3 linked regions of the Mus musculus genome follow. The protein of the gene in region 1 purifies or fractionates together with the protein of each later gene. This does not show direct contact. Links are inferred from orthologs where the notes say so. Each region holds a gene or a part of one and is shown in the gene's direction. Other genes may lie near its edges.

What was found.
Region 2: the proteins of Kpna2 (region 1) and Polr3f purify together in Homo sapiens (co-immunoprecipitation; 3 studies listed by BioGRID and IntAct, with this or other methods). This does not show direct contact. The link is inferred for Mus musculus from reciprocal best matches to the Homo sapiens genes KPNA2 and POLR3F.
Region 3: the proteins of Kpna2 (region 1) and Chd4 purify together in Homo sapiens (affinity purification with mass spectrometry; 3 studies listed by BioGRID and IntAct, with this or other methods). This does not show direct contact. The link is inferred for Mus musculus from reciprocal best matches to the Homo sapiens genes KPNA2 and CHD4.

Annotation. Positions count from the first base shown.
Region 1 is NC_000077.6:106,997,159-107,000,904, reverse strand, and holds the start of Kpna2 (importin subunit alpha-1), read left to right. Parts: upstream 1-1,379; 5' UTR 1,380-1,546; intron 1,547-3,569; 5' UTR 3,570-3,592; coding exon 3,593-3,667; intron 3,668-3,746.
Region 2 is NC_000068.7:144,526,888-144,530,633, forward strand, and holds the start of Polr3f (DNA-directed RNA polymerase III subunit RPC6), read left to right. Parts: upstream 1-857; 5' UTR 858-976; coding exon 977-1,038; intron 1,039-1,815; coding exon 1,816-1,933; intron 1,934-3,746. UniProt on the Homo sapiens protein: DNA-dependent RNA polymerase catalyzes the transcription of DNA into RNA using the four ribonucleoside triphosphates as substrates.
Region 3 is NC_000072.6:125,094,819-125,098,564, forward strand, and holds the start of Chd4 (chromodomain-helicase-DNA-binding protein 4), read left to right. Parts: upstream 1-1,162; 5' UTR 1,163-1,442; intron 1,443-2,205; exon of another isoform or gene 2,206-2,268; 5' UTR 2,269-2,347; coding exon 2,348-2,447; intron 2,448-3,746. UniProt on the Homo sapiens protein: ATP-dependent chromatin-remodeling factor that binds and distorts nucleosomal DNA. Acts as a component of the histone deacetylase NuRD complex which participates in the remodeling of chromatin.

The DNA of each region.
Region 1 (3,746 bases):
GTATTTGAAGGCAGGCAGTGGTGGCACACTGCCTTTAGTCCCAGCACTCTGAGGTCTGTGGAGTTCAGTCAGGTCTACAGAGACACAGAGAAACCCATTAAGTGTGTGTGTGTGTGTGTGTGTGTGTGTGTTTGGGGGAAGGGAGCAAAATAAAGAAATAAATAAAAAATTTTAAAGGTTTGGAGAAAATAGGTATTAATAAGTTATTGGTTTTTTGTTTTTGTTTTTCGAGACAGGGTTTCTCTGTGTAGCCCTGGCTGTCCAGGAACTTACTCTGTAGACCAGGCTGGCTTCGAACTCAGAGAACTCAGAAATCCGCCTGCCTCTGCCTCCCAAGTGCTGGGATTAAAGGTGTGCGCCACCACCACCGGGCTAATAAATTATTGTTACCATATTTGCTGCTTCCATTGTCCTTTTTCTTTTTCTTTTTTTTTTTTTTTTTTTGCTTCTGTCCTGGAACTCACTCTGTAGACCATGCTGGCCTCGAACTCAGAAATCCGCCTGCCTCTGCTTCCTGAATGCTGGGATTAAAGGTGTGCGCCACCACTGCCCGGCTTCCATTGTCTTTATTTTCCAAGTAATCTAAAAGTTTACCACACGGGACAAAGTGGGGCATGTCTGTAATCCCAGAACTGACGTTGAGGAAGGATTGCATTAGGTTCAAGGCTAGCCTGGGCTCTATTGTTAATGTGAGACCCTGCCTCAATCCCACTCCCCATGATAAAAATTAAATAACCAGTAAATAGCACAAACAATAATATAGCGATACAACTAATGATTGCCTAAAGATAAAATAATCAACAAATACTATAAACAATATAGTGATACAACTAATGGTTAAGAGGCACACAGATCCACGTTCTCCCGGTGACCAGCTCCTGATGTAAAATTTTTTTAAAGTAAATATATTTCTCTTTTCTTTTATTGATTGATTGACTGATTGGTTGATTGAGACAGGGTCTCACTATTTAGCCCTGGTTGGCCTGGCTGTATAAACCAGGTTTGCCTTGAACTCCTAGTGCTGGGATTAAAAGCCTGCGCCAATCACCGCAAGCTAAGCCTTTTTTTACAAGTGTAATAATAATTTCGTGTGTTTGTTTAAGGACAAGCCCAGGGAAAGCAAACAGGGTACGGCCCAGTGTCCATCTAAGCATAGACGAAACGCAGGTCTCCATGCTGTGTGCTGAGATCTGGAGTCACCCTTCTGCAAGGCACCCTGGGATTGCCCGGCCGCTCCCTCATCTCGCGACGCTTCCCTGCTTACCGCCCCACCCCCACCTTTTTTTTTTTTTTTCCCCTACGACCTGCGTCTGCGTCCCACCCCCACCCCCGCCTAACGTGTTTTTCAAACCTACCAATGAACGCGCAGCTTAGGCTCAAATCAGCCAATCGGAACGCGGCGTCACCGGGAAATTTAAATCGCGCCGGCCGGCAGCACGAGGCACAAAATCTGAGGGCTGAAGGGTAGCAGACGTTTCCACAGCCGCCGACCCGCAGCTTGAGTGTCCTGCACCACCTTTCGTGGAAATCTGAGCCGGCTGTACAGGTAGGAACGGAAGCCGGTCCTGAGCAGTAACGGCCGGACGGAAGGCTGCGGGGCGGAGGGCGGGAGCAGGCCGCGCCCGGGCCGGAGCTGAGCCTCCCTGCTCCGACCAGGCCTCGGGGCGGGTTGGTTTCGCCACGCCGGGGTCAGGGTTGGCAACGCCGGGCGCTGCGGAGGGCAGCGAAGGCCTGGGAGCGGCTCGGGTCGGCGTGGAGGGACCGGAGGGCAGCCGCAGTCGAGCGGACCTACCTGGCTGTGCCGCCGCTTTCCTGATGCTTCTGCCCCGGGGAGGAGACGCAGCTTTGGGCAGGGGATGAAGGTGGCAGTTAAGACACCCCAGTTAAGCCCTTGACCCGGATCACCTGGGTCAGGGTCGAGGACGGACATAAAGCAGTTAAACCTACTAGCTTACCAGGGTACTTTGGGTTCCTGTCCCTTCGCGACGACCACACCTGGGTTCTATCGAGCCCCACTGATCACAGCTGATGTCATCCCGGCTGAATGCATTCTCTGGAAGTGTGTGCAAGATGCGGCGTTAATGCCATTGCTGACAGCGATGATGTGATGGAAGGCCCTATAATGGAACGAACCGATTCTTTATGTAACTTGCAAGAGGGTACTAGTATGGATCCGTTTTGGCCATCGATCAACAGAAAACGAGAGCTGCGTTTATTGCCTTAAGGACGTAGATGGTTGCCAGGCATTGTTGGCGCACGCCTTTAATCCCAGCACTTGGGAGGCAGAGGCAGGCCGATTTGAGTTCGAGGACAGCCAGGGATACACACAGAAACCCTGTCTCGAAAAATAAAACAAACAAAGGACGTAGATTGTTCTCCTACTTGGTGTTCTATTAACTAATGGAGCCTAGAATTTAGATCCTTGACTTAATACCGTGCTGGCTAGAGGCTTAAGACTATTGAGTGTTTGAAAAGCCGCTAATCTGTTGAGATGCCCCGTGTGCTTAAACTACCCATTGGATTTTGAAGGTGTATAAAAACAGTAAGACATCTCAATTTTTCTGTATTGATGACATCCTCAAATGGTAATAGTTTAGCTATATTGGGTAAAAGTCTTAAAATTAATTTCCTTCCTTCCTTCCTTTCTTTTTGTTTTTTCGAGGCAGGGTTTCTCTGTGTAGCCCTGGCTGTCCTGGAACTCTGTGGACCAGGCTGGCCTCGAACTCAGAAATCCTCCCGCCTCCCAAGTGCTGGGACTAAAGGAGTGCGCCACCACTGCGGGGCTCACTGTGGTTAGTGGAAATTTTAAATTATCTTTTTTTAAAATTTTTTTTGATTGACAGTTAAGTTGCCTTTGTAGTAAGGGGCAATTATGGCTTAGTATTATAGCCATAATGATGAAAACTTGTAGGATTTTGTTTTGTTTTTATTTTATTTATATATTTTTGAGACAGGGTTTCCTGAGTAGTCCAGGCTGTCCTGTAATTCACTCTGTATACTAGACTGGCCACAAACTCAGATCCGTTTTACCTCTGCCTCCTGAGTGCTTGGAGTGCTTTGCCATCACTGCCAGGCTGTGTTGTGTCGTCATCTTTGTTTTTGTTTTTTTTTTTTTTTTTTTTGGTTTTTGTTTTTGGTTTTTCGAGACAGGGTTTCTCTGTATAGCCCTGGCTGTCCTGTCCTGGAACTCACTTTGTAGACCAGGCTGGCCTCGAACTCAGAAATCCACCTGCCTCTGCCTCCCAAGTGCTGGGATTAAAGGCGTGTGCCACCGTTGCTGCTTTTTAAATCTAGTATAGAAATGGAGTTGAGATTTAGTTGATTATAACATGCTATTGTATATTTCTGTTTGTTTCATCTTAAGATAGGGTTTCTCTATGTAGACCTAGCTGGCCTGGAACTCTCTACAGACCAGGCTGGCTTCAAACTGATAGAGATCTGGTTGTCTCTGCCTCCCAAGTGCTAGGATTAAAGGCGTGTATTACTCTACCCAGCTTCTGTTGCATTCTTATTAAAAATACTTTTTCTTTGTTTCTTTTTTTTTCTTCTCACCCTCCCTTGGCTCCTAGCTTTCCTCCTTGTTCCTGCAGCCATGTCCACGAACGAGAATGCTAACTTACCAGCTGCCCGACTTAACAGGTTCAAGAACAAGGGGAAGGACAGCACAGTGAGTACCTTCTGTTGCTTTCCTGCGTGCTTGTAAAGGGAAGGGGGATGTTTATATAACAACAGTTCTGAGGGACTGG
Region 2 (3,746 bases), on another chromosome or scaffold:
TCAGAAATGACGCTGGATGTAGAGGGATTCGCCTACCTTCACATTTCCCTTCGAGTGAGAGTCAGCTAAAATAAAGATAGCTGAAAACTAGATTCTAAATAAACACCGTTGGTTCGAGACTGAAGTGCTCACGGTTAGCTATTAGCTGCTCTTGGAAACCTGGGGTGGTCACTGGACCTCACAGGAAGGAGACAGAGATGGCTGATTCGCTAGGTCCACACCGCAGCCTGGTGTCAGTGTCATGCCACCAGCATCTCCCAACATCCTGCACCTGAACCATCTCCTCGCTGCCCAAACCAGGACCCAGACCCTGCGTCATGCCCTCGGCCTCGCGAGGCAGTCAGAGATGCCTAATTCCCTCCCAACCCAGTGAGAGATGCCCTTCTCCTCACCCTTCTCCAGCCTCAAGGACAGAGATTAAGGACCCCCGACGCAGCACCGCCGCCGCCAACCCGTTGTCAGGTTTCTCACGGTCTCACCACAGCTCCTCCGCTGCAGCTTGCGTTTCCACAGACGCTGCGAACCGCGCCCCGCCCATCGGGAGCCGAGCAGATGATTGGCAGGGAAATCGACATCCTAGCAACCAGCCCCGCCCTTGTCTCTGGCTGCAGCCTCCGTCTGGTACCCGCCTCCAGATCCTTCTGCGACACTTTCTTGTAGGTGTCCAAGAATATGCCTTCTCGGCGGCTGGAAGAGGCTGAAGGGTGCGTACTGGAGCCAGAGGCTCTTGTCCGACAAGCACTGAAATTTGAGACAACGGAAGGGAGTCGCTGTGGCGACCCTGCCGAGCAAGGCGGAGCAGGCACAGCACGGGCGCCCCAAGCCGATCCGATGAAGAAGGCCCAGCGCGACCGGATGAAGAAGGTCCCTCGCCTCTCTCTCAAGCCTCGGTCCCCGGCGCGCGCCTCCACCGGTTCCCGAGACTTCCAGCGCGCTCCGAGGGGCCACTTTTCCTCTAGTCTCGAAAACTGCCCTCATGGCGGAGGTGAAGGTCAAGGTGCAGCCGCCGGACGCGGATCCGGTGGAGATAGAAAACAGGTACTGCAATAAAGCTAGGCTCCCGACGCTAAGCGAGCAGTCAGCTGGGTAGCGGGACCCCCTTCTCTCTCAGTCCCGCGGGGAGAGGCTGGGGTAGACTGGTCGAGCACGCGGGAGCGGGGTTGCCGGGTGTCTGGGCGACCCCCCCGCCCCGATTAGGGAGAGTAGAACTCTTCAGAAGCTCTAGAGCAGCGGGACAGCTTGAAACGTTGTGGAACTGGGTTCTCCGGGATTCTATTAGAGCACTTGGAACGTGACAGCAGCCAGGGCCAGAAGAGAGACCTGCATTTTCCCTGTAGTTCTTGGACATGTGTTCGAATCCAGGATTGCCCGGTTGCCAAGGGAAGTTCTATAAGAGAACGTTGGGGCCAAATGAGGGTTCAGTTTGTGATTACAAAGGACCATTGAGCCAAGTAGGTTCAGTGAGTGCCTTAACTCCCGTAGTGCACATGTGTTTCTAGGTTATAATGTATTTAAAAGACGACTTTCTCAACATTATTATTGTGGATAATAAGTTTATTACACCTCCAAACAAATTAATCCCTCCAGTTTGTTTGGAGGGGATAATTCTCAAGACTCCAGTTATGGTGAATCACTATGCTGCCCCCCACCCCCACCCCCGAATATTCTATTTGCTTTCTGCCCACAGACCTTGGAGTCACTTTGCTGTACTTATTCCCATTGACAACATTGAGCTTTTTAGCTTGACTATCGTGTATCTTCCTTATTTGCCTTTAAAAGCAAGCAAACATAAACCATTTATACCGTTGTTCCTAGAATTATAGAATTATGCCACCAGTTCCCTCATGGAATCACAGATCAAGTAATTCAGAACGAAATGCCTCACATTGAAGCCCAGCAGCGGGCAGTGGCCATCAATAGACTGTTATCCATGGTAAGGTGAAGTCAACCAATTCATGTAATTTGTTGTATATTCTGGTTTTCATTGCTTCCTGTCATATCGTTGTGATGGCTAACCTTATGTGTCAGCTTGGCTGGGCTCTGAGATCCTAGATATCTGCCTGTTTGCTGTTTCTGGGATGTTCTAGAATGTGGTATTTGAACTGATGTGCTGACTGTAGGCAGTGAATGGGCACCATCCAATTTAGTATCAGCCTAAGCCAAAGACATGGAGGACACAGGAACTTGCCCCAGCCCACTCTGAGCCCCAGGGCCAGCCTTCTGCCTTCACCACTCTGTCCTTAGACTTTCGGATCCCATCTATACCATTGACTTCCCATCACCGAGGTTAATGCATCCGGTCTGTGCCATTGATCTGTGCCGCTGGCCTTCTCTAGTCTCCAGCTTGCAGGAGACGTACAAGAATTCTCCCCCCACCTTAATTACACGGAGCAATAATCGCATAATAAGCCTCCTTTCTAGTAAGCCAATATACTAATTGTAAGGCCAAAATTTGTGGCTTGATTCCAAACCAAGGAAAGGATCAGAATGTCTGAATAGGAAGAAAAAAATACTCATCTGCCTGCCATTTGACAAGATGAGGGAACTGCATGCAATTCTGTTATAACTAATTGTTATTAGCTTCAGTGACACAAAAAGACACGTGGGTGTGGTCTGTTCTCAACTTGTTATACTTCCTCCTGCTAGCTTCTAGCCATTCCCTATAAAATATTTCCACTGTGAGTTTTTTGTGAGTTATCAATAGCCTATTGATTGGGGATCACAGGGTCACTCTGAGCTTGTCAAGAGCAGGAAGAAGTCCCACTGAGGGTCTTTAGGATAAAGCACAGCCTCAGCTTCAGAGACAGTGCAGTAGAGTTTCATTGAAGCCCAAGAGCCTAGAGCCCAAATGCCTCTCTTGCAGCATTTGAAAAATGTCCTACCACATACTTTAAATCCCCTATGTCGCTCTTCTTTCACAAACCATTATATGCCTTTTTCCCAAGGACTCTTTAGTTTGGTTTTATTAGTTAGTCTTACACTAGGCCTCTTCTGAATTACTGTGTTTTTGTTTGTTTGTTTGTTTTGTTTTTTAAACTTCTAGCCTTGTGTTATACTTCAAGGCTCTAGATGCAGAGATTATAGGGATAGTCGAATCTTTTATTACACCTTTGTCTTTACCTTCGTGGCTCAGAATTGGCAAACTTCTCTATGAAGTAGTAAATAAAATAACTTTTGTGGCCCATCTAGTTTCTGTCACAACTGTATCATTTGTCATTTTAACAAGAAGCAGTCATGAGCCATGAACAATGAAGCATAAATAGATAGATGTGGCTTTTTTTCTGACGAAATTTTATTAATAAAAAAGCAAACAGTGGGCCAGTGACTTATCTTTTCACCCAAAGAAGAGAAGTTGGATTTCTGGGCTTCCTTTTTCTGTGTAGAAACACTCCTTGCTATTCTTCAGGACTCAGCTCTGCTGCTATCTCCAGGAAGAGACCTGGCGCCCCCAGGTTGGGCCACAGTCCCTTTTCTGAGTGTGCATGCACCTTGTTTCTCGCTTAGTGCCAGCCAGCCAGTGCTGTCGTCACCTGTGCTTCCCCTTGAGAGTTTGGAGTGGAGCTCAGAGGTAGAATATTCACTTAGCTCACACGGTATGCTCAGCCCCCTGTTCTGTAATTCGACAACAGATTGTCCATTTAAACAGCTATCCTGGACTGGAGGGATGGCTCAGTGGTTAAGAGCACTTGCTGCTTGGGTTCAATTCCAGTCAGGGTGGCTCACATCTGGAATTCCAATTCTGACTC
Region 3 (3,746 bases), on another chromosome or scaffold:
CTAGTCAGCATATTATTTGTTTGAGTTTACACAAACATTCAAAGCTGGAGGGAGGTAAGTATCTAGAACATACCTGGATTTGGTGGGGTTTGTTGGGGCTCGAGGTTGGCTCTTGGTTCCTGAGTGTCTGCAAATGATGAGCTAGGAAGTCTGGGGGTCCTGAACTTTGAGAGCCCAGAATGCTCCTATTGCCCAGGAAGGGACTAAAGTGTGTGCTAGTGGGGACAGGGCAGTTAGCAGTTTGCCACACCCTCTCTGCTCTAGTTGGAAGAGCCTGACAACTTCTAGAGGTGGGGGAGGTTGTGACAATTAGGGGATGTCTGGCCAGACCTGTGTGCGGTGATGGAGTGTAGCAGAAGTATTATGGGATGTGGCACTGGGTTGTGTTGGGACAATTATGGTATCGTGGGCTTTTTGAAATTATGGGATGGGAGAGTAGATAGAGTAAATGATAGGACATTTTCCCAGTGTTAGTGGAGGAGATTTAGATGTCCATTTGTGGGGTGACAGCAGAGCTGCTGATCATTAGTGAGTATCTCTTTGCTAGGAGGAATGGTAATTTATGGACCATGGAGCTAGAAAGAGACTGGGAAGGCTGTGGGTGGTAAAGTGAGCATCTAGAATCTCAACCCTAGTGCAGGGACTGAGGGCAGCTCTGGGGGGGTTGGATATTATGGGATATCAGTATAGAAAGTGGGAGACTGATTATTACGGGATCCGTGTGGGAGGAGGCCCAGTGTCCGTTGTTGTAGTATGGGGTGGGTGAGTTTCTGACAATCATGGGATGTCAAACTGGGGGTGGTTATTATGGGATGTCGGTGGGGGATGGGTTGAATATTATGGGATATGAGGCTGAAGTGCTGGGAGGGGTGCTTATTATGGGATGGCCAAGGGGAGGGAGGGGTAATGAGTTATTATGGGATGTTAGCAGTAAGGCCAAGAGTGAAGAAGTTGGCAAAGAGTGGTTATTATGGGTTATCTAAGGGAGGGGGAGCAGGTTTTAGTTTGTAAAAGATCTGCACTATATGTCTGTAGCCCCGGGCACATATATGCATAGAGTGTGGGGGGCGGGGTGTGTGTATGTGGGGTGTCCGTGTGTATTATGGGATGGCCAGGAGGTGGGCGGTTGCCCAGGTGACGCGCGCGCGCGCTCGACGGGGGCGTGGCCAATGGTTGCCTGAGCGACGAGGGGGCGGGGGTTGCCCGGGAGACCTAAAGAGGAGGGTGGCGGTAGTGGAGGGGGGGGTTGGAGTTGGTTGAGGTTATTATGGGCTGTCCGTGGGGGGCGGGGCCTGTGCGGTGGGATTTCCCGGCCGGTGTTTCGGGCCCTTTAAGAGGCGACGCCGGAGCCGGAGCCATTTTCCCCCCTTCGGCCGCGGCGAGGAGGAGCTGGAGCGGGAGTGACACCGGCGAGACCCAGCGCGACCTGAGGCGGCTCTAGGGTGAGGAGCGCGCGAGGCAACGGGAGAGACATCTCTCTCAGCCCGACGTCGTCCCGGGGGTCATTCCTTCACCTGTCCCTTCTTCAGGCGTCCCGGGGCCCGCGGGCCGTCCCCTCTCCAGGGAGCCGACCCTTCTTCCCCGGAGGCGGCCGGGTTACCTCCAGACGGCGCCCTGCCCTGAGGGAGTCCTGCTCCCCGCCCCCCCCCCCTCCTGGGCTCGGCCTCCCACAATGCCGGGCGAGCGCCTGCCCGCCCGCCCCTCGCCCTTTGCTCGCTAGCCCCCCGGGACACGTGGCCCGGCCCCCTTCCCGGTGGGTGCTCGCTTTCCTCCGGCGTCCCGACTCTTCGGGACCCCGGAGCGCCCGAGCCTCCACGCCCCCTGGTCCCCGCCGTTCCGGAAGAGAACCTGAGTTGTCCCAGAGGACAGCCTTTGGAGAGCTGCCCTGTCTGGGGACTGGCCCCTCCCCGGGCGCAGAGGAGCGCCCCCCCACTCCCAAGTGACCTTGTGTCCCCGAGCACCGGCCGCCTCCCCTGACCCTCTCCGCGCCTCCCCACTCGAACCCCACTCCCCAGGCACTCCTGGCTCAGGCCAGGCTAGCTTCTTCCTTCCCCTCCATGCACCAGCCTGCCCTCGGGGGCGTCATTCCCTCTTCTTGGGGGCTCCTGCTGGGGAGCCGGCTCACGGGCTGTCCCCGAGGAGTGTGGAACTAAGTTCAGCCTGAGTGGTTCGGGTGCTTGGCTAGGGTGGTAGGGCAGGGGGGCGGAAAGAGCGGGTGGGGGAGGGGGACTGCGCGTCACTCACTGTTCTCCCCCCTCCCCCGCACAGTGACTCGGGCCAGTGCAGAGGGCCCCAGGCCGCAGGCAGGAGCAGCTGGGCCAATTCCCTGGCCGGGGAACGGAAGGGGATGGCGTCGGGCCTGGGCTCCCCGTCCCCCTGCTCAGCGGGCAGTGAGGAGGAGGATATGGACGCACTTCTGAACAACAGCCTGCCCCCACCCCATCCAGGTAACATCTTCCCGGAGGGCCCAGGGCAGGAAGATGTTTGATCTTTCCTCGAGACTCCAGTGAGGCTGCGTTCGCGCGCTGCTTGTCCCTGTGCAGAACCCAGGGTGGAGGGCATCCGAAGGGAGTGGTTCTTTTCTGCGGAGCTCTTGTGTGCTGGGGGGTGCTGGGGGAGGTGGAAGCCATGTGCCTCTTGGGCACCACGGACCCAGATGCAAGCTGGCTTCACTCAAGGCTGTCTGGAATGCTCCGCAGTCCCCGGTTGAGGGAGCTCTCTGGGTTAGCTTTACCTCGTGCAGGTTCTTGGAGGAATGCAGGTGGTTCCGACTCTGGTGGTGACATGGTGGGGTGCGGTGGGGATTTCTGTTGCGGGAGCCCTGCCAGGCATCTGGGATCCCGCGGTTGTTCCCTGGAGAAGAAAGCGAGAGTGTTGGTTGCTTTCTGTCCCGATCTCTTACGGGTTCTCTGTGCTGTTTCAAGAGTGTAAAGTTTGAATCTCACTCTTTATCAGATCTGTAGAACTTTGTTAGTCAGATTGTTGGGATTTTTTTGAGTGGAGAAGGATGGAGGGCTAGGAGAGGCAGCATGCAGTAGCCTAGTGAGGGCAGAGGGAGGGAATTGGCCCTTGGTGTGGACATAATCTTGGATCTTTACTAGGGGCTTCCGCCACTCTGAGGTAGCTTGGGGTCTGGTCTGGATTGGTGGCGTGAGGTGTTTGTGTGGGTGTGTTAGGGTTTGCACTGTGTTTTGGGGTTGCTCCCTGGACTGGCTAAACCCGTATTATTATAACCATCTTGCCTGAGTGCCTGCCCTCAAGTGATGGCTGATGTCATGCTTGGAAGTGGATGTCTTTCTCTTGTCTCCTTATTTAGAGCCCCCTTAGTTAAGGCACCTATTGGCTTGACTCCCCCACATTCATTGCAAGGTCGGTATCTTCTCTGCGTCCACGTAGTTTCCTACACCGTGGAGCCCGGCTGTCCTGGTTACTACCCTGTGAAGCCTGGCTGTCCTGTTTTTTGTTCCTTACGGCATGGCTCTCACTTCTGCCTTTTCCTGAGCCCCAACTGGAGGGTGAGATATCCAGAAGAAATCATTTTCAAATTTGTCATTTAAGAGAGCCATTATTCTTGCTGCTGAGTCCTAGGCTGCTGAGATAAGGGACTTAGATCTGTGTCTGATCACTGAGGTGTAGGCCTGCGGAGCTCTGCCTTTGCGAGGGTGAGGTGGGTAAGGAGGAAGACTTACTTTTCCTTCCTTGTCTTTATGAGAGGCTGGGTGATGCTGTCTGACCAGCGTTGCTTC